Linked DNA regions of Callithrix jacchus. The protein of the gene in region 1 purifies or fractionates together with the protein of each later gene. This does not show direct contact. Links are inferred from orthologs where the notes say so. Each region holds a gene or a part of one and is shown on either strand. Other genes may lie near its edges.

The links. The genes of interacting proteins can lie anywhere in the genome.
Region 2: the proteins of kelch repeat and BTB domain-containing protein 7 (region 1) and TMEM160 purify together in Homo sapiens (co-immunoprecipitation; 3 studies listed by BioGRID and IntAct, counting the BioPlex papers as one, with this or other methods). This does not show direct contact. The link is inferred for Callithrix jacchus from reciprocal best matches to the Homo sapiens genes KBTBD7 and TMEM160.

The regions. Positions count from the first base shown.
Region 1 is NC_133506.1:160,344,362-160,354,447, reverse strand, and holds kelch repeat and BTB domain-containing protein 7, read left to right. Parts: upstream 1-5,217; 5' UTR 5,218-5,516; coding exon 5,517-7,622; 3' UTR 7,623-9,817; downstream 9,818-10,086. UniProt on the Homo sapiens protein: As part of the CUL3(KBTBD6/7) E3 ubiquitin ligase complex functions as a substrate adapter for the RAC1 guanine exchange factor (GEF) TIAM1, mediating its 'Lys-48' ubiquitination and proteasomal degradation.
Region 2 is NC_133523.1:41,011,084-41,021,019, reverse strand, and holds TMEM160 (transmembrane protein 160), read left to right. Parts: upstream 1-3,953; 5' UTR 3,954-3,963; coding exon 3,964-4,171; intron 4,172-6,462; coding exon 6,463-6,555; intron 6,556-6,902; coding exon 6,903-7,168; 3' UTR 7,169-7,250; downstream 7,251-9,936. Other genes in the region: NPAS1 (neuronal PAS domain-containing protein 1), read right to left, coding at 7,495-7,955.

The DNA of each region.
Region 1 (10,086 bases):
CAACATAAAATTTTTGAGAATCATCCACATTATTACATATATCAGAGGTTCTTTCTTATTTCTGAGTAATCTTACACTATAGGAATATGCTGATATGGTTTGGCTGTGTCCTCACCCAAATCTCCTCTTGAATTGTAGCTCTCATAATTCCCACGAGTTATAGAAGGGACCCAGTGGGAGATAATTAAATCATGGGGTGGTTTCCTCTATACTGTTCTTGTGGTAGTGAATAAGTCTCAAGAGATCTGAGAGTCATATAAAGGGTTTTCCCTTTTTGCTTGGCCCAATATTTTTTATCATTCTCTCTTACCTGCCGCCATGTAAGATATGCCTTTCCCCTTCTGCCGTGATTGTGGAGCCTCCCCAGCCATGCTGAACTGTGAGTCCATTAAACCTCTTTTTCTCTATAAATTACCCAGTCTCAGGTATGTCTCTATCAGCTGCATGAAAATGAATTAATACATATGCTACAATTTTTTTCATTCTCCTCTTGATGTATATTTGGATTGTTTCTACTTTTTGGATACTATGGATAAAGCTATTGTTACCCAGTATACTGTTTAGTGGCCTAAGTGAATTTCTACTCTACCTTAACTCTACTTATCTTTAAGAAACAGAATGCCTGAGATCAGAAGTTTCCCACTGTGACCAAACTGGCAAAGACTGCTGGGATCCGAGATGTCAGCACGCTTGACCACTGAAGCACCTGTAACTTCATTATGATCTCATCTCTATGTTAAATGACATTCCTGCCAGCTGCATGACAGTTGACAATTACCATGACAATGACCAGAAGAAACCATAAAAGGACAAAAAGTAATGTGGCACTCTGGTTTCCAAGTTCTTCACACACCCCTAGAAAAAAACACGAATATTCCTCTCCTTGCTTTTTCTTTTTTGCAACGAAGTCTCACTGTTGCCCAGGCTGGAGTGCAGTGGTGTAATCCGGGCTCACTGCAACCTCCGTCTCCCAGATTCAAGTGATTCTTCTGCCTCAGCCCTCCCAAGTAGCTGGGATTACAGGCGCCCACCACCACACCTGGCTAATTTTTGTATTTTAGTAGAATAGAGATGGGGTTTCACCATGTTCCCCAGGCTGGTCTGGAACTCCTGAGCTCAAGCAATCTGCCTGCCTCAGCCTCCCAAAGTGCTGGGATTACAGGTGTAAGCCACTGCACCTGGCCCCACCCCTTGCTTTTAATACCCATCCCCTTCATCAAAGATGCCCTATAACTGTGACTTCCCGGCTCTTAGGAGCTGAGAAATTGATTTGTGACCCACGCTCCTGCTTCTCAATTCCATGGTCATGGAATAAAACCTGCACTGCCTGATGCTCACTTTCAGTTTCGCATCTTGGCTTCATGACCTAGAAGAGAGAAAAACTCCCTCTTCAAGGGACCACCTTTGTCATTAACATTATTATGAAGATACTTACACAAGTGTTTTTGTGGATTTATGTGTTTATTTCCCTTGGGCAACTGCCTGGGAGTGAAAGTACAGGGTGTTTAAAAGAAACTACAAAAGAGTTTTCTAATGTGAGTATATACCGAGCACCAGCTCAGTCGGGAGACCCCACCCAGGCAGTGCTGAAGGTAACGAGAGGCAGACATCCAGACAGAACAGCAGAGTGGATCTATCCGTGGGGCCAACAGCCTGAGAGCCTCAGGGGCTGACGGCATTCCAGGATGAAGGCCCCGAGCAGATTCTCATCAACGTTATTTATTCTCTCTTAAACAGGTGTTCTGTATTTACTCATAACTCAAAAAATATACCAAGTAGGCAGCTCTTATCCACCTACCACTAATTACAAACCAAAAGGTATCTTCCACGGAGGAGCCATGAGGCCGGGGTAAACTTAATGTTTCTCAGGTATGCCAGTTTATATTCCTATTATTAGCACATGAGAGTTCGATGGCTCTGTATCTCCACAATATGTAGTATCATTGACGTTTTTAAGTTTAGCCATTCTAGCGGGTATTCAGTGTTTCTCATTGTGAGTTTAATTTGCATTGGCCACGAGGTATACATATTACCAGTATTTTTTCCCAGTCTATGGCTTATCTTTAATTCCTTTCACTGCCTTTCCATAGGCCACAGCTTGTAATTTTGTTGAAATTCACTGTCTTTTTTAATGATCTGTTTTTTGTGTCCCAAGAAAACGTTGCCAACCCCAAAGCTATAGTCTTCTGTTTTCTTCTTGAAGCTTTATAGTTTCCACTTTTCCATTTTGTATTAATTTTGAGAAATTTGAGAAATTTTGAATTAAGTTTCTGCTTATGATGGAAGGTAGGGGCAAGGGCGAGTTTTTGTCTTACATTCTTGATCCAGTTGTTCCAACACCATTTGTTGAAAAGAATTTTCTTTCTTCATTAAACCGCACTGGTGTCGTGCTGTATTTCTAAAATGTTAAATTTCATTCCTCAGTTGCACTAGGCAAATATCATGTACTCAAGAGCTACATGTGTCTTCTGGCTACTGTATCAGCACAGATATAAAGTATTTCCAAGTTTTATGGGACAGCACTTAGCTCTAGACCTTAGGGAACAGTGCCTAATAAATATTTTCAATTCTGTGACAGGTAATCTAAACCAAATAACGCAGTAAGGGCAGATATAAGGAAGGTAAAAATCAGTCCCTGACCTTTTGTAGGTACCTAGGGAGGTCAAATTCATAGAGACGAAGAGTAGAACGGCAGTTGCCCGAAGTGGGAGACTATAGAGTTATTGTTTAATCGGTACAGAGCTTCGGTTTTGTGACAGTTGCAAAACCATGTGAATATAGTTAATGCTACAGACACTACACACGGAAAATTTTTAAATGGTAGATTTAGTGTTTTACCAATATTTTAAGAAGTTTTTTCAAAATGGCCATTCCTGAGCTGGGCATGTGGTTCACGCCTGTAATTGCAGCAACTTGGAGGCTCAGGCGGGAAGAGAGCTTGACACCAAGATTTCCAGACCAGGCTGGGCAACATAGTGAGACCCCATGTATCATTTTTTTAAAAATTAACTGGGCGTGGTGGCATGCATCTATAGTACTAGCTACTTGGGAGGCTGAGGCAGAAGTATTGCTTGAGCCCAGGAATTCGAGGCTGCAGTGAGCTATTATGGCGCCACTGCACTCCAAGCTGGGTAACAGAGCAAGAACCCGTCTCAAAAGATAATAAAAAAGGCTTTTTATTCCCGGCTGGTGTTCATTACAAGTGAGGAAACAATTGGCGTTACTGGCAATGACTGACTTAATTCTCTCTGGTGTAACTCAGGGACATCTAACATCTCTTTTTATTTACAGAGGAGATATTGGAGCCCAGAGGCTGACTTAATGTGTCTACCCTAGAATATTTCCAGCGGATACTCTTCAGCCAAGAGAAGAACAATTTGAAGTTATTCTCTTGTGATGTGTTATCCACACATGCATTGTAATACGGATGATTTTATTTATTTGGTTATGGTAACATAACAAACCAGCACCAGGAGCGGTCACTGTTTTTTAAATAAAAGTGATCTTTAAAAGTCTATCTGTTGCCAGTGCAGGGTGCCCAAGTTCTTGGCATTTTGAACAAAGAATTGGACAAAACTCATAAACAAAGCAAGGATAGAATGAAACAACAAAAGCAAAGATTTGTTGAAAATGAAAGTACACTCCATTGGGGCTCAAGGGCCCTGTTACAGCATTTCTAGAGGTTTAAAGACCCTCCGGAGGATTCCACTGGTTACTTGTTGTATGCCCTATGTAAATGAAGAGAATGAGGTAAAGTTACAGCCATTTGCTCGGCATACACCCTGTGGAGAGGATACTTCCTGTTAGAGCTGAGGTGTGCATCGGCCTATGTTCCCGGCCTCCAGGCCCTATTTTCCTGCCTCAAATCTCTAATACTTGGTTTTGATGATTTAGCTGTTGATCAACGCATATATTAAATAGTTTTGTAAAGCATAGACTATACTGTGTATTAATTCAAGGAACGTCAGGGCATGTATGAATGCTGAAGTCTGAGAATCATGTGCTTTTGTACAGAACAAAGTCTGTTGAAATGTTTTGAGTTAAAATTCTCCCTAAAACTTCTCTACGAAAGCAATTGCAGAGTCTGTTAACTGATTTGTAGAATGGCAGTGAAAGAGGCTGTATTTGGCCGGGCGCGGTGGCTCACGCCTGTAATCCCAGCACTTTGGGAGGCCGAGGTGGGTGGATCACGAGGTCAAGATATTGAGACCATCCTGGTCAACATGGTGAAACCCCGTCTCTACTAAAGATACAAAAACTTAGGCCGGCATGGTGGTGCATGCCTGTAATCCCAGCTACTCAGGAGGCTGAGGCAGGAGAATTGCCTGAACCCAGGAGGCGGAGGTTGCGGTGAGCCGAGATCGTGCCATTGCACTCCAGCCTGGGTAACAAGAGCTAAACTCCATCTCAAAAAAAAAAAGAAAGAGGCTGTATTATTCAATTTGAACACACTTACATTTGCAGCTTAATGAAAATACTCTTGCTCTGCAGAGATGAAATGTTAGTGAGAGCAGCAAATCATCTATTTGTATATGCTCAATTTGCATATTTGAGGCCATCTATTAATACTGCTCTTTAGGACCTCAACCTAACCATCTAAGACATTCTTGTTAAATGAGACCAATATACATCATTTAATATTGAAAATATTAATACTCTTCAGAACCTCTCAAAAAATAAAAATTAAAAATTGGAAGCTTTGTAACGTTTTGCAGTTTTAAAAAAAATACTTGGTTTCAAATTAGCGGGTGCCTCATTTATCATAAATTATAAAAGAGAATCTAACAATTATTGATTACATTCTAGGCACGGGGTAGTGATTTATTAATTATTCTTCTAATAAAAAAATACACATATTTAAGCATCCTATGTAACATATCATTCAACCCCACAAAACCCTGTAAAATATTGGCAGGGCGCAGTGGCTCACGCCTGTAATCCCAGCACTTTGAGAGGCCGAAGGAGGAGGATCATTTGAGCCCCCAGTAGTTCGAGACCAGCCTGGCAACAATAGTGAGACCTCGTTCTTCACCATCAAATCCCGGAGTATTAATTTCTACTTCTGTTAGAGCAGGCAACGAAAGGAAAGCTCGCGATATTTCACAAACTACTACTCCCAACATGCAAAGCGGTTTCCTTCCTCGGTCTTGGCCCGGCTGTCCGAGAGCCCCAGCAGGCCTCGGGGCGCGAAAGGCAACCCGGGAACCGTAGTTCTCCAGGGCGCCTAGCGGGATCGCCAGCGCGGCAGTGGGGCTTCCGCGGCTCCCAGCCAGCGGGTCCTGTGAACGCGAGCAGAGGCGGAGAAAGGGCGCGGAAGTGAGAGAGGGTGAGTCAGCCACTGTCTACGCGATAAAGGGAGGCCTCACCGCGGGGTAGGCAGAATTCAGGAGTCAGGTCCGTGCCGCAGTCTGTTCCAGGAAGCGGCTTGTGTTAGCGTCAGCGAGGGAAGGGTGAGGAGGAGCCAGAGCCGGGTCCTGCAGCCGTTCTCGCCTTCAGCGCCCGTCGCCATCTCCATCATGCAGTCCCGGGAGGACGCCCCGCGCTCTCGCCGCCTCGCCAGTCCCCGCGGTGGGAGGCGGCCCAAGAGGATTTCCAAGCCCTCGGTTTCGGCCTTTTTCACGGGCCCAGAGGAATTAAAGGACACGGCCCATTCTGCAGCCCTCCTGGCCCAGCTCAAGTCCTTCTACGACGCGCGGCTGCTGTGCGATGTGACCATCGAGGTGGTAACGCCCGGCAGCGGGCCCGGCACGGGTCGCCTCTTTTCCTGCAACCGCAACGTGCTGGCAGCTGCGTGTCCCTACTTCAAGAGCATGTTCACAGGTGGCATGTACGAGAGCCAGCAGGCCAGCGTGACCATGCACGACGTGGACGCCGAGTCCTTCGAGGTGCTGGTGGACTATTGCTACACGGGTCGTGTGTCGCTCAGTGAGGCCAACGTGCAGCGCCTGTACGCGGCCTCGGACATGCTGCAGCTGGAGTACGTGCGGGAAGCCTGTGCCTCCTTCTTAGCCCGACGCCTGGACCTGACCAACTGCACCGCCATCCTCAAGTTTGCAGACGCCTTTGACCATCACAAGCTGAGGTCTCAGGCCCAGTCCTATATAGCTCACAACTTCAAGCAGCTCAGCCGAATGGGTTCGATTCGGGAGGAGACTCTAGCAGATCTGACCCTGGCCCAGCTGCTGGCTGTTCTGCGCCTGGATAGTCTGGACGTGGAGAGTGAGCGGACAGTGTGCCACGTAGCAGTGCAGTGGCTGGAGGCTGCTCCTAAAGAGCGGGGTCCCAGTGCTGCAGAAGTCTTCAAGTGCGTGCGCTGGACGCACTTCACTGAGGAAGATCAGGACTACTTAGAAGGGCTGCTGAGCAAGTCCTTAGTGAGGAAGTACTGCCTGGGCGTTGTTGAAGGGGCCCTGCAGATGCGCTATGGCGACCTGCTGTACAAGTCTCTGGTGCCAGTGCCAAACAGCAGCAGCAGCAGCGGCAGCAGCGGCAGCAGCAGCAGCAGCAGTGGCAGCAGCAGCAGCAACAGCAGCAACAACAACTCTGTTGTACCTGCAGCAGAAAATCCACCTCAGAGGCTGGGTATGTGTGCCAAGGAGATGGTGATCTTCTTTGGACACCCCAGAGATCCGTTTCTCTGCTATGACCCTTACTCGGGGGACATTTACACAATGCCGTCACCTTTAACCAGCTTTGCTCACACTAAGACTATCACCTCCTCAGCTGTCTGTGTCTCCCCAGATCATGACATCTACCTAGCTGCCCAGCCCAGGAAAGACCTCTGGGTGTATAAACCAGCTCAGAATAGTTGGCAGCAACTTGCAGATCGCTTGCTGTGTCGCGAGGGCATGGATGTGGCATACCTCAATGGCTACATCTACATTTTGGGGGGACGAGACCCTATTACTGGAGTTAAATTGAAGGAAGTGGAATGCTACAGTGTTCAGAGAAACCAGTGGGCATTGGTGGCTCCTGTCCCTCATTCCTTCTATTCTTTTGAACTCATAGTGGTTCAGAACTATCTTTATGCTGTCAACAGTAAGCGCATGCTCTGCTATGATCCTAGCCACAATATGTGGCTAAACTGTGCTTCTCTTAAACGCAGTGACTTTCAGGAAGCGTGTGTCTTCAATGATGAAATCTATTGTATCTGTGACATCCCAGTCATGAAGGTCTACAACCCAGCTAGGGGAGAATGGAGGCGGATTAGTAATATTCCTTTGGATTCAGAAACTCACAACTACCAGATTGTCAATCATGAGCAAAAGTTGCTGCTCATCACTTCTACAACCCCACAATGGAAAAAGAACCGAGTGACAGTGTATGAGTATGATACTAGGGAAGATCAGTGGATTAATATAGGTACCATGTTAGGCCTTTTGCAGTTTGACTCTGGCTTTATTTGCCTTTGTGCTCGAGTTTATCCTTCCTGCCTCGAACCTGGTCAGAGTTTCATTACTGAGGAAGATGATGCACGGAGTGAGTCTAGTACTGAATGGGACTTAGATGGATTCAGTGAACTGGACTCTGAGTCAGGAAGTTCAAGTTCTTTTTCAGATGATGAAGTCTGGGTGCAGGTAGCACCTCAGCGAAATGCACAGGATCAGCAGGGCTCTTTGTAAATAGTATTTTGAGACACTAAGATGTTTCTACTGCTATGGAATGTATGTTAAAAAGATATCCTCTCTTTTTCTTGGGAAAAAAAGGTTGATTACGACCACAGATTTGGTTTAGAAAGGGTAACATTTTGAAATACTACAGGGTTTAAACAGTCCCTGAAACCAACCCGTTTAATAATTTACTGTGCTGAAAGTCCAAAATTAAAATATGCAAACAAGAACTATATAATTGGTTGGGATGCTTGGTAGGCTTTTTCCTGGTTCAGGTATTCATCCCACAGTGGACTGTTTTGATTAGTGGGCTTATTTTTTTTTTAATTCAGTCTTCTGTTAATTTTTAAGTTTTCTTTAGTGCCACAAAGAATTTATCTTTTAAATCTGTATAATAGAAAACTGGACTAGGGATTGTTGATGGCGTTTTGAAGGATGAGTACTTTCAAAATAATGAAAGTGGTAGATTTTCAAAATCTTAAACTAGTCAGTTCTTTATATTCTAAGTTAAATATAGTTTGTAAAATTATTTTGGTTTTCTTCTACAAAGGAAAAAAATTGGATATATGTATGTTAAGGTTACTGAATAGTGATTTCATTTTGATAATGTGCAGAATGGCCTCACAAGCACACAGAAAGTAAAAAAAAAGGATTCCACACCCTTCTAAACCAAACCAAAACAAAACACAAGGTAACTTGCTTTTTACATTTGTATTTTTAATCCATGCCCATTACACGCTTTATTGAGTCAGAGGAACAATTCCTGAACATATAATTGGGTAATGTAAATTTTTATCCATTGGTCATGGCTTGTCTTAAAATGTTTATTTGCCTCCGTAAAATATTTTGGCTGTATAGGTTTGGTGTTTGTCCTAAAGGATTCTTCAACAAAAAGTGATTTATTCATTACTGTTTTCGTGAGATAATATGGTTTAGAACATACGTATAAGCTAAAAACAGTATTTTACACAGATCAGTAGTTATTGTGTCTATCAGCTATAAAACAAGTGCCAGCAAAGAACTTTAAAACTTTAAGCTGTGTATTATAGAACTGTTTTGTGTAGCATTGGAATATTGTCCATTTTGTAAGTCACTGTAAATGTTCTTAATTATCAGCTTGAAAGTATTTTTGTATGAAAAGTTGACACTGAACAACCTAAGTGGATGATGGCATTTGGGGCCAGTAGTGAAAGTATGTTTCCTCTAAAATATTTCCCTAAACAGTGGTATACATAGTTTTTTTATTGAGATTTGTATATGTTCTGTGTTTCTCTGTGAACATGTTTCAGTCTCTGTCACCATATGTAAGGGAAAGTCCATAAATATAGACTAAATTGCACAAAACTGACATTGTTAATTACAGGAAATATAGGTGCTTACCTTTTGAAGGTTTATTAACACATATGGTTGTCACGACACATATAAATGGTGTACATATACAGATGTTTATGGTGTATAAATTTTTCTATATCCAATTAGAATTATCTTCCTGATTCTATATTCAATAACATGCTAATTCCTCTTCTATGTTTATTCTCTAGTGACAGAATGCTAACTTTTCTTACAGCCTGGCAGAGGACAGTCTGGTCTAGGATGGGGAACTGAATTTCTGAATGAATAAAAAGGAAAGGGAAAGGATAAACAAAACAAAGCACAATAGTGTTTCTCAGTCATTTTGATTGGCCATTTGAACAACCTACGAGACCTTCCTGTTTATTTCTAGTGAAGTAATATGCCTGCCCTAGCAGTGTATGTGTCTTCAAAAGGGTAAACATGCTTTAGCAACCTAAGAGTAAATTTTGTTCATTTGACATCAGGGATGTTATAAGTACTGCACTTAATACAAAGCTATTTCTCAATTGTGTTATTTTTGAGCCAAATTTTTCTTCACCATTAACTTCTTGTTGGTAGCTTTTTGTTTTGTAAAAATTGAGGATGACAGTGCCTATCTCAACCAGATTATCCATCTGCAGAATTAAAGTCTGCAACTGAGAAACACAAGACAAATGCTCCAATTTGTCTTTCTCAACCTTTGAATTAAAGCCTAGCCTACATAGAGGGAATGACTTGGTTTACAGTGAGGTTTTCTTTGGAAGGGATTTTGGTTTTGTGATATATTTGTGAATTAAGGAGTAGATGTTAGCCTTATTTCATAGATAAGTTATTTGTACATGGTTGGTTATAAATAAAACTGGTACTAGAACCCAGATTTCCTGACTTTCTGATTCAGTGGTTCTGCTAAATGTATAAAATTCTTGCTGTGCAGCGATCTAGCAGTGTTGAAAGATCTTCATGACAAAAACCCTTTTGTAAGTTTTCCAATTAATCAGTTCATCATTTAACAAGTGCTCACTATAATGTCATTTGTAGGACTGCCATTGGTAAGATTTAGTTTTATTTCATACGCTTTTAAATTCAAACAATAAGTAATTGTTTTCAAAAAAGTAAAATAGAAGACTAATTTAGCAAATAACTT
Region 2 (9,936 bases), on another chromosome or scaffold:
GGGTGACAGAGCCAGACTCTGACTCAAAACAAACAAAAAACGAAATGAGCCAGGCGCGGTGGCTCACGCCTGTAATCCCAGCACTTTGGGAGGCAAGGCGGGTGGATCATGAGGTCAACAGATCGAGACCATCCTGGTCAACATGGTGAAACCCCATCTCTACTAAAAATACAAAAAATTAGCTGGGCATGGTGGCGCATGCCTGTAATCCCAGCTACTCAGGAGGTTGAGGCAGGAGAATTGCCTGAACTCAGGAGGCGGAGGTCGCAGTGAGCCGAGATCGCGCCATTGCACTCCAGCCTGGGCAACAAGAGCGAAACTCCATCTCAAAAAAAAAACAACAACAAAAAAAACGAAATGAGGTTTCATTTTGTTGCCCAGGCTGGTCCTGAACTCCTGGCCTCAAGCCATCCTCCCACCTCAGCCTCCCAAAGCACTCAGATTACACACATAAACCCTTGTGCTCAGCCTTCAAGGATGCTTTAAATGTGCATCTGGTGATGTTCCCCAGCTTAAACCCACCAATGAGAGGAAGACCTTCCAGAACCCTCCACTGCCCCCTGGGACCTTGGCTACAAGGCCTGCTGGGCCAGGCACCTCTGGAAATCAGCTCCTTTATCTTCTACTGGGCAGGGCTTGGATTTGATGGAGAGGAAGGGTAGGGGAGCTACCAAGGGGGTTAAGCTAGAGGAGGGAGTTCAAATGGACTGCACTGCACAGCCCGCAGGCTGGCCATGAATGCAGAGCTTTAAATGGGATTAAGTGCAAGCTGAAAATATTCCAGACACATTTTTCACATTCTTGGCTGGTGAAATGTTTTATGCTGATGAGAGAAGGTGGAGCTGAATAGCTGAACACCAGAAGAGGTCAAGGCAGAGAAAACAAATCTGCCTTAAAGAGACAGATCTTGACTGGGCACTGTGGCTCATGGCTGTAATCTCAGCACTTTGGGAGGCTGATGCGGGTGGATCATCTGAGGTCGCGGGTTCGAGACCAGCCTTTTTTTAATAGAGACAAACTGTCTCTACTAAAAATACAAAATTAGTCAGGCCTGGTGGCACCTGCCTGTAATCCCAGCTACTTGGGAGGCCGAGGCAAGAGAATTGCTTGAATCTGGGAGGCAGAAGTTTAGGTGAGTTGAGATGGTGCCATTGCACTCCAGCCTGGGCAACAAGAGCGAAACCCTGTCTCAAAAAAGAAAGAAAAAAAGAGACTGATTTTTTCTTGAAAAAAATTTTTTTAACACAGAGTTTTACTCTTGTTGCCCAGGCTGGAGTCCAATGGCATGATCTCGGCTCACCACAACCCCTGCCTCCTGGGTTCAGGTGATTCTCCTGCCTCAGCCTCTGGAGTAGCTGGGATTACAGGCATGCACCACCACACACGGCTACTTTTTGTATTGTCAGTAGAGACAGGGTTTCATCATATTGACCAGACTGATCTCAAACTCCTGACCTTGTGATCCACCTGCCTCAGCCTCCCAAAGTGCTTGGATTACAGACATGAGCCACCACCAGCAGCCTACATTAATTGTTTCTTGGTTCTCCGTCCATCCCAAGAATGTCATCACCCCCAGGACACGAATATTTATAATTTCTTTGTTGTTTGCTGCTGCATTCCCAGTGCTTCAAACAAAACCTGTCCCACAGTAGATACTCAATAAATATTTGCTGAATTAATAAATGGGAAATCTACCTTAGGGAGCCTGGAGACCATTGGCCATCCTGGTTTCAGTTTTCTAGGTGAAATACAATAAGGATTTGGACTAGGGGAGGGATCCAGAGAAATAGATAGCTGTTGATAAGCTCACCTATCCACCTGTATGTCTCCCTGCCACAGCACATCCTCTATTGAGAGACGGAAGGATCTTCTTTTTTTTTTTTTTGAGATGGAGTCTTGCTCTGTTGCCCAGGCTAGACTGCAGTGGCTCCATCTTGGCTCACTGCAAACTTCGCCTCCTGGGTTCAAGCGATTCTCCTGCCTCAGCCTCCCAAGTAGCTGGGACTACAGGCGCCTGCCATCACACTCAGCAAATTTTTGTATTTTTAATAGAGACATGGTTTTACCATATCTGGGGCTGGTCTCAAACTCCTGACCTGGTGGTCCACTTGATTTGGCCTCTCAAAGTGCTGGGATTACAGGCATGAGCCACAGCGCACAGCCAGGATCTTGTTATTTATTTATTTATTTATTTATTTTTCTTTCTTCCTTTTTTTCTTGGAACTGCAGGCTGCTATGTCCAGGGAAGGCTCTTTTTTTTTTTTTTTTTTTTTGAGGGGGTTGGAGTCTCGCTCTGTCGCTCAGGCTGGAGTGCTGTGGCAAGATCTCGACTCACTGCAACCTCTGCCTTCCAGGTTCAAGTAATTCTTGTGCCTCAGCCTCTGAGTAACTGGGATGACAGGTGTGCACCACCATACCTGGCTAATCTTTGTATTTTTAGTAGAGACAGAGTTTCACCATGTTGGCCAAGCTTGTCCCAAACTCCTGACCTCAAGTGATCCACCTGCCTCAGGCCCCCAAAGTGTTGGGATTACAGGCCTGAGCCACCACGGCCAGACGGAAGGAACTTCTTCTTCTTCTTTTTTTTTTTTTTATAAAGAAGGGGTTTCACCATGTTGGTCAGACAGTTCTTGAACTCCTGACCTCAGGTGATCCACCCGCCTTAGCCTTCCAAAGTGCTGGGAATACAGGTGTGAGCCACCGCACCTAGCCCAGAAGGATCTTCTTCTTCTTTTTCTTTTTTTTGAGATGGAGTTTCGCTCTTGTTACCCAGGCTGGAGTGCAATGGTGCGATCTCGGCTCACCGCAACCTCTGCCTCCTGGGTTCAGGCAATTCTCCTGCCTCAGCCTCCTGAGTACTTGGGATTACAGGCACACGCCACCATGCCCAGCTAATTTTTTGTACTTTTAGTAGAGACGGGGTTTCACCATGTTGACTAGGATGGTCTCAATCTCTTGACCTCGTGATCCACCCGCCTCGGCCTCCCAAAGTGCTGGGATTACAGGCTTGAACCACCGCGTCTGGCGGCCCAGAAGGATCTTCTTAACACATAAATTGAATATTGTCAATTTTTTTTTTTTTTTGCCTCTTCATAAATCCTCTATGGCTTCCCAGTGCACAGGATCAGAAAGACACAGATTTAAAGTCTTTTTTTTTTTTTTTTTTTTTGGTCTCATAATAAATAGAGCTGCAGGGCCAGGCGTGGTGGCTCACGCCAAATTAATGCCGTGGGTTAATCATCACGATATCTTTTTATGTGAAGAAAAATTAGGCCGGGCGTGGTGGCTCCCGCCTGTAATCTCAGCACTTTGGGAAGCCTAGGCTGGCGGATCACCTGAGATCAGGAGGAGTTCAAGACCAGCCTGGCCAACATGGTGAAACCCTGTCTTTGAAAAAAAAAAAAAAAGAAAAATTAATGTGTCAGGTGCCATCTTATTTTACATCTGCATAGAAAAAAGACAGGAATACAACAAAATGGTAGTAGTAATCACTCATTGGGAATTACTGGTGAGGTTTACTCTCCTCTTTGGGATCCTGCAGATTTTGCAAAGGTTCTATATTAAGTGCCCCACGTTTTGTTTTGTTTTCTCGCCATTGGAATTAACGTTGTTAATACAAACTACAATAGGTGTTCAGCATGTACTTCGTTTAAAAAAAAAAAAAAGGATAAAAACTACAAGTCCCTGCAGACATCTCGCTGACGGCTTCTGAAGATCGGCCTTCCCCGAGTGCAATGATTTCTGGGATTCGTAGTCCAGTGACAAAATCAAGGAGGGACGCACACTACCGGCCTAGATGACAGAAGGGGGGAATCGCTATCATTCCAACCAATGGACAGTTCGAGCCGGGCCTGAATGGCGAGCGCATGGCCAATGGATAAGCCGTTTATCCTGAGTGACGCGGGTTGCAACCTACCAGAGACCCGTGGGGCGGTACGGCGCGCAGCGGCAGTAGTGCGAACCATGGGAGGCGGCTGGTGGTGGGCTCGGGCCGCCCGGCTGGCCCGTCTCCGCTTCCGGAGGTCGTTACTGCCGCCTCAGCGGCCCCGGAGCGGGGGTGCTCGGGGGTCCGTTGCTCCTGGCCACGGCCCCCGCGCCGGGGCTTCGCCGCCCCCGGTGTCCGAGCTGGACCGTGCAGACGCCTGGCTCCTCCGGAAGGCGCACGAGACAGGTCAGTTGCTGGGGTTGGGGGCGGTGTGGATGGGACGGGGTGGGGACTTCTGCAGGAAACGGGGCCCGGGTTCGGCTGCGGGAAGGGCTTCCGTGTGAGCGCAGGGAAGCGCAGGTGCCCGCAGAGAGGACGGGCTTGCGGGGAGGACGGAGACCCCGGGTAACCGGGCGCAGTAGAGATGGGAGGGGGTTGTCGGGTTGCTGGAGGCAGCCTCATAGAATCGCGCCTGCCGTGAAGAGAGGGGCTTCCAGGGAGAGCTTAGAGTCTGTGGAGTTGTATACAAGAAGGATCCGTTCTGATTGCAGGGGCCACCACTGTGCAGAGAGCGGGAGTGTGGATCCTCGCAGAAGAGGGGGAAGCTCTGGATTGGAGGAGGGGAAACCAATAGGGAAAAACCTCTCAGCTGATTGGAAGGGGAGGTGATCTAGGCTGCAGGGGGAGGGGCTTGTATCGGAGGCGAGGTCCCGAATGGAGCAGACTAGCTATCTTTTAAAAAAATGTTTCAAATTACAGTGCCTTGCTCTGTCACCTGGGCTGGAGTGCGGTGGTGCAACGGTAGCGCACTGCAGCCTTGAACTCGTGGGCTCAACCATCCTCCTGCCTCAGCCTCCTGCTTAGCTGAGCTAAGGAGCTACAGGCACACACCACTGCGCCCAACTATTTTAATTTTTTTTTTTTTTTTTTTTTTTTTGAGACGGAGTTTCTCTCTTGTTGCCCAGGCTGGAGTGCAGTGGCGCAATCTTGGCTCACTGCAACCTCTGCCTCCCAGGTTCAAGTGATTCTCCTGCTTCAGTCTCTTTGTTTTTATTTATTTTAATTTTTTTATTTTCCTGCTTCAGTCTCCTGAGTAGCTGGGATTACAGGCATGCACCACCACGCCCTGCTAATTTTGTATTTTTAGTAGAAACGGGGTTTCTCCATGTTAGGCTGGTCTTGAACTCGCGACCTCAGGTGATCTGCTTGCCTCGGGCTCCCAAAGTGCTGGGATTACAGGCGTGAGCCACCGCGCCTGGCTATTTTAATTTAGGTAGAGATGGGGTCTTGCTTTTTTGCCCAGGCTGGTCTCGAACTCTTGGTCTTAGACAGTCCTCCCGCCTTGGCCTCTCAACGTGCTGGGATTACAGGCATGAGCCACCTCACCTGGCCAGGACTGGGCATCTAGATATAGGATGTAGTGGGCTGTCCACACCAGGGACTTGAATGGAGATGGACGTGGATGGGATTGGTCCAGGCCATACTCGGTAGGAGATGGTGGCATTTGAAGGAAAGGCAGGGCGAGGCTAGGGAGCAGCTTGGGTTAGGAAACAGTTTGTCCCAGAGTTCTGAGAAAGAAGTGAGCTGACAGGCTGTGGGGGTACACGTAGAGGGAAGGGGTTGACCAAGATGGCTTTTTTTTTTTTTTGAGATGGAGTCTTGCTCTGTCACCAGTCTGGAGTGCAGTGGTGCAATCTCGGCTCGCTGCAACCTCTGCTTCCTGGTTTCAAGCGATTCTTCTGCCTCAGCTTCCCGAGTAGCTGGGACCAGAGGCACGTGCCACCATGTCCGGCTAATTTTTGTATTTTTAGTAGAGACGGGGTTTCACCATGTTGGCCAGGATGGTCTCGATCTCCTGACCTCGTGATCCGCCCACTTGGCCTCCCAAAGTGCTGGGATTACAGGCGTGAGCCACCGCGCCCAACCCCAAGATGGCTTCTAAGAGTCTGGAGGTTCAGCCACTTTGGTCCTAGATTTTTCCCCATATTCTGCAGGAACCATCATCTTGAATCCTTTTTATTTTGAGGCAGTGTCCTGCTCTGTCACCCAGGCTGGAGTTCAGTGGCAGGATCTCGCCTCACTGCAACATCTGCTTCCCGGGTTCAAGTGAGTCTCCTGCCTCAGCTTCCGGAGTAGCTGGGACTACAGGCGTGTGCCACCACACCCAACTAATTTGTGTATTTTTAGTAGAGACGGGGGATTTACTGTGTTGGCAGGCTGGTCTCAAACTCCTGACTCATGATCTGCCTGCCTTGGCCTCCCAAAGTGCTGGGATCTACGGGTGTGAGCCACTGCGCCCAGCCCTTGAATCCTTAGTGTTGCAGAGTTTGGGGGAGAAGGGCTCTAAAGTGGTGGCCAGAGAGGGTGTGGGGGATGTGGTTAGGTGAGGGGCTTACTGGAAGAGATGAGGATTTGGGGTGGGCTTGCCTTGTGGCTGGACGGGGTGGGGGAGCTGGAGGCCCCTTACTTCGAGCGGGTGAGGGGGATTGAGGTAGGGTTGCAGGTGATGCTAATCCCCCCATACCCCCTCCCTGCAGCCTTCCTCTCCTGGTTCCGAAATGGCCTCCTGGCATCGGGCATCGGGGTCATCTCCTTCATGCAGAGTGACATGGGTCGGGAAGCAGCCTATGGTGAGTGCAGACGCCCCCTCTTGCCCCCCCTCAGGGATCCAGGAATGCACAGCCCCTGCCCCCTGCCCTGGTTAGGATAGACTCTCTCCCCATCCTATCCCCGGTAGTAAGTACAGAACCCCCATTCTTCCCCTACCAGATGACACCCCTCCCATGGGCACTAGGCCCACAAGTGGGTGGCCCAGGACATGGCTATGGTCCCCTCCCCTCCGATCTGATTCTTAAAGGTGCAGTCCAGCCCCTACCACTATTCCTGTCTCCGCTCCAGACCATCCCCCACACCCCGATACCTTTTCCTCTCCCAACCCCGCGACCTTGGGCCTGGCACTACCCTGCCTCTCCCGCAGGCTTCTTCCTGCTGGGCGGCCTGTGCGTGGTGTGGGGCAGCGCCTCGTACACAGTGGGCCTGGCGGCGCTGCGAGGACCCATGCAGCTGACGCTGGGGGGCGCGGCCGCGGGCGTGGGCGCCGTGCTGGCCGCCAGCCTGCTCTGGGCGTGCGCCGTGGGCCTCTACATGGGGCAGCTGGAGCTGGACGTGGAGCTGGTACCCGAGGACGACGGGGCGGCCTCCGCGGAAGGCCCTGATGATGCGGGTCGGCCACCACCTGAGTGAGCCACACGGCCGCGGGGCTTGGCAGGCGCTGGACGGCGGCGCCCGAGGACTGGGACATTAAAACCTGACCTCCCCTCCTCCAGATGCCGAGTGCTGGTTCGTGTTCCTTGGGGAAGGGCAGCCAGGAGCGGACTAACCCGGGAGGCGGGAGAGGGAGACGAGGACCCGCGGGGAGCCAGAAACGGACAGAGGAGCTCACAGCCAGGAGCCCAAACCACTGCAAGGGGAGCCGGCCTTTAATTCTCAGGGCTACGGGCAGAGCAGGGCCGCCATCCCAGGGGGCCCCCAGCCGTCGCAGTGTCCAGCGCCGGCGGCTCTGCCAGTCCTCAGTCCCCCTTCCGCGGCAGCCTGGTGCCCGCAGACCCCGGATAGGGCAGGCCCAGGGGCGGGTAAAAGGCCTCTGGGAGCGCGGGGCCTGGGCCCAGCCTCTGCAGATGCGGGTACACCAGGCCCAGCTCCGCCGGGCCATAGCGGATGGCACCGGGTGTGCACAGACCCCGCACCACGGGCGGCAGGAAGCCCGCATGCAGGAGGGTGGGCGGGGGGTCCCCGGGAGGTGTCAGGCCCCACGGCCGCACTGGGTCCTGCTTCAGGGCCCCCGCCCGGATGACAGAGGTGAACTCGGGCCGGGGTGGGGCCGGGTGGCCGGAGGGATCCTCGTCACCACTGTCCTCTGAGCCTTCGGTTTCCCTCGGGACGGGCTCCACTTTGATGCGTTTGCCCTGCGTCTGGGGGGCCTCCTTCTCCAGCGAGGCAGTCTCCTTCCCTTCTGCTGGAGGCTCCGGCTCTGCAAGAGGAAGATGCTCAGGGCTTGTGTGTGTCCCCAGCCCCTCAGTCTTCCCATCTGTGGAATGGAGCTGTGCTCAGTGGGCCAGGCCTGTAGTTCTCAGCTGGGAGTGGTTTTTTTTTTTTTTTTTCTTTTTTTTGGGTATTGCTCTATTGCCCAGACTGGAGTGCAGTGACACGATCTCAGCTCACTGCAACCTCTGCCTCTGGGGTTCAAGCGATAAGTGATTCTCCTGCCTCAGCCTCCCAAGTAGCTGGGATTACAGGCATGTGCCACCACACCCAGTTAATTTTTCTATTTTTAGTAGAGATGTGTTATCAGCATGTTGGCCAGGCCAGTCTTGAACTCCTGACCTCAGGTGATCGGCCCACCTTGGCCTCCCAAAGTGCTGGGATTATAGGCGTTAGCCCCATGCTGTCTAGCTGGGAGTGGTTCTGTCCCCAGGAGACACCTGGCAATATCTGGAAACATTTTGGGATGTCACAGCCCTGGGGAGGGTACTGTTGGCATCCAGAGGGGAGAGGCCGGGGTGCTGTGAAATAAACATCCCAGTGTCTCCCCAGCACAGAACCACCTGGCCCTAAAATGTCAGTAGAGCCGAGATCAAGAAACCCTGGTCTAGACCTGTACTGTTGAATGCAAGTTTCCAGGATAGAGCTTTCCGTGGTATTGGAAACATTCTATATCTGAACTGTCCCACGAAGCAGCCACTGGCCATATGTGGTCACTGTGCACATGAAATGTGGCAGGTGTGGGTGAGGACATGGATTTAAAGTTGTTTTTTTGCCGGGCTCATACCTGTAATCCCAGCACTTTAGGAGGCTGAGGAGAGTGATCACCTGAGGTGGGGAGTTTGAGACCAACCTGGCCAACATGGCAAACCCCGTCTCTACCAAAAATACTGAATGAGCCAGGTGTGGTGGCGGCTGCCTGTAATCCCAGCTACTCGGGAGGCTGAGGGGCAAGAGAATCACTTGAACCCAGGAGGTGGAAACGGCAGTGAGCCAAGATTTTGCCATTGCACTCCAGCCTGGGCAACAAGAGTTAAATTCCATCCCCCTCAAAAAAATAAAATTTTTTGAGACAAGGTCTCACCCTGTCACAGAGGCTGGAGTGCAGTGCAGCCATCACAGCTCATGCAGCCTCTAACTTGCAGGCTCAAGCAATCCTCCCCGCTCAGCCTCCCGAGTAGCTGGGACTGTGGGTATGCACCACCACACCTGGCTAATTTTAAAAATTTTTTGTTGAGACAGGGTGTCACTATGTTGCTCACACTGTTTTTTTTTTTTTTTTGAGACAGAGTCTTGCTCTGTCGCCAGGCTAGAGTGCAGTGGCGTGATCTTGGCTCACTGGAACCTCTGTCTCCTGGGTTCAAGTGATTCTCCTGCCTCAGCCTCCTGAGTAGCTGGGACTACAGGCGTGCGCCACTATGCCCTAATTTTTGTATTTTTAGTAGAGAGGGGGTTTCACCATTTTGACCAGGATGGTTTTGATCTCTTGACCTCATGATCCGCCCGCCTCGGCCTCCCAAAGTGCTGGGATTACAGGCCTGAGCCACTGAGCCCGGCTACCCACACTGGTCTTGAACCCTTAGGATCAAGCAGTTCTCTTACCTTGGCCTCCCAAAGTTCTAGGGTTACAGGCATAAGCTACCACACTTGGCCTCAATTAAAATTTTCTTTTGTGGAGACAGAGTCTTGCTCTGTTGCCCAGGTTGGAGTGCAGTGGCGTGATCTCGGCTCACTGCAACCTCCACCTCCCGAGTTTAAGCTATTCTCCTGCCTCAGCCTCCTGAGTAGCTGGCATTACCAGGCATCTGCCACCACACCTGGCTCATTTTTATATTTTCAGTTAAGATGGGGTTTCACCATGTTGGTCAGGCTGGTCTCAAATTCCCGACCTCGGGTGATCACCTGCTCCGCCTCCCAAAGTGCTGGGAATATAGGCATGAGCCACTGTGCCAGGCCCTAAATTTTGTATT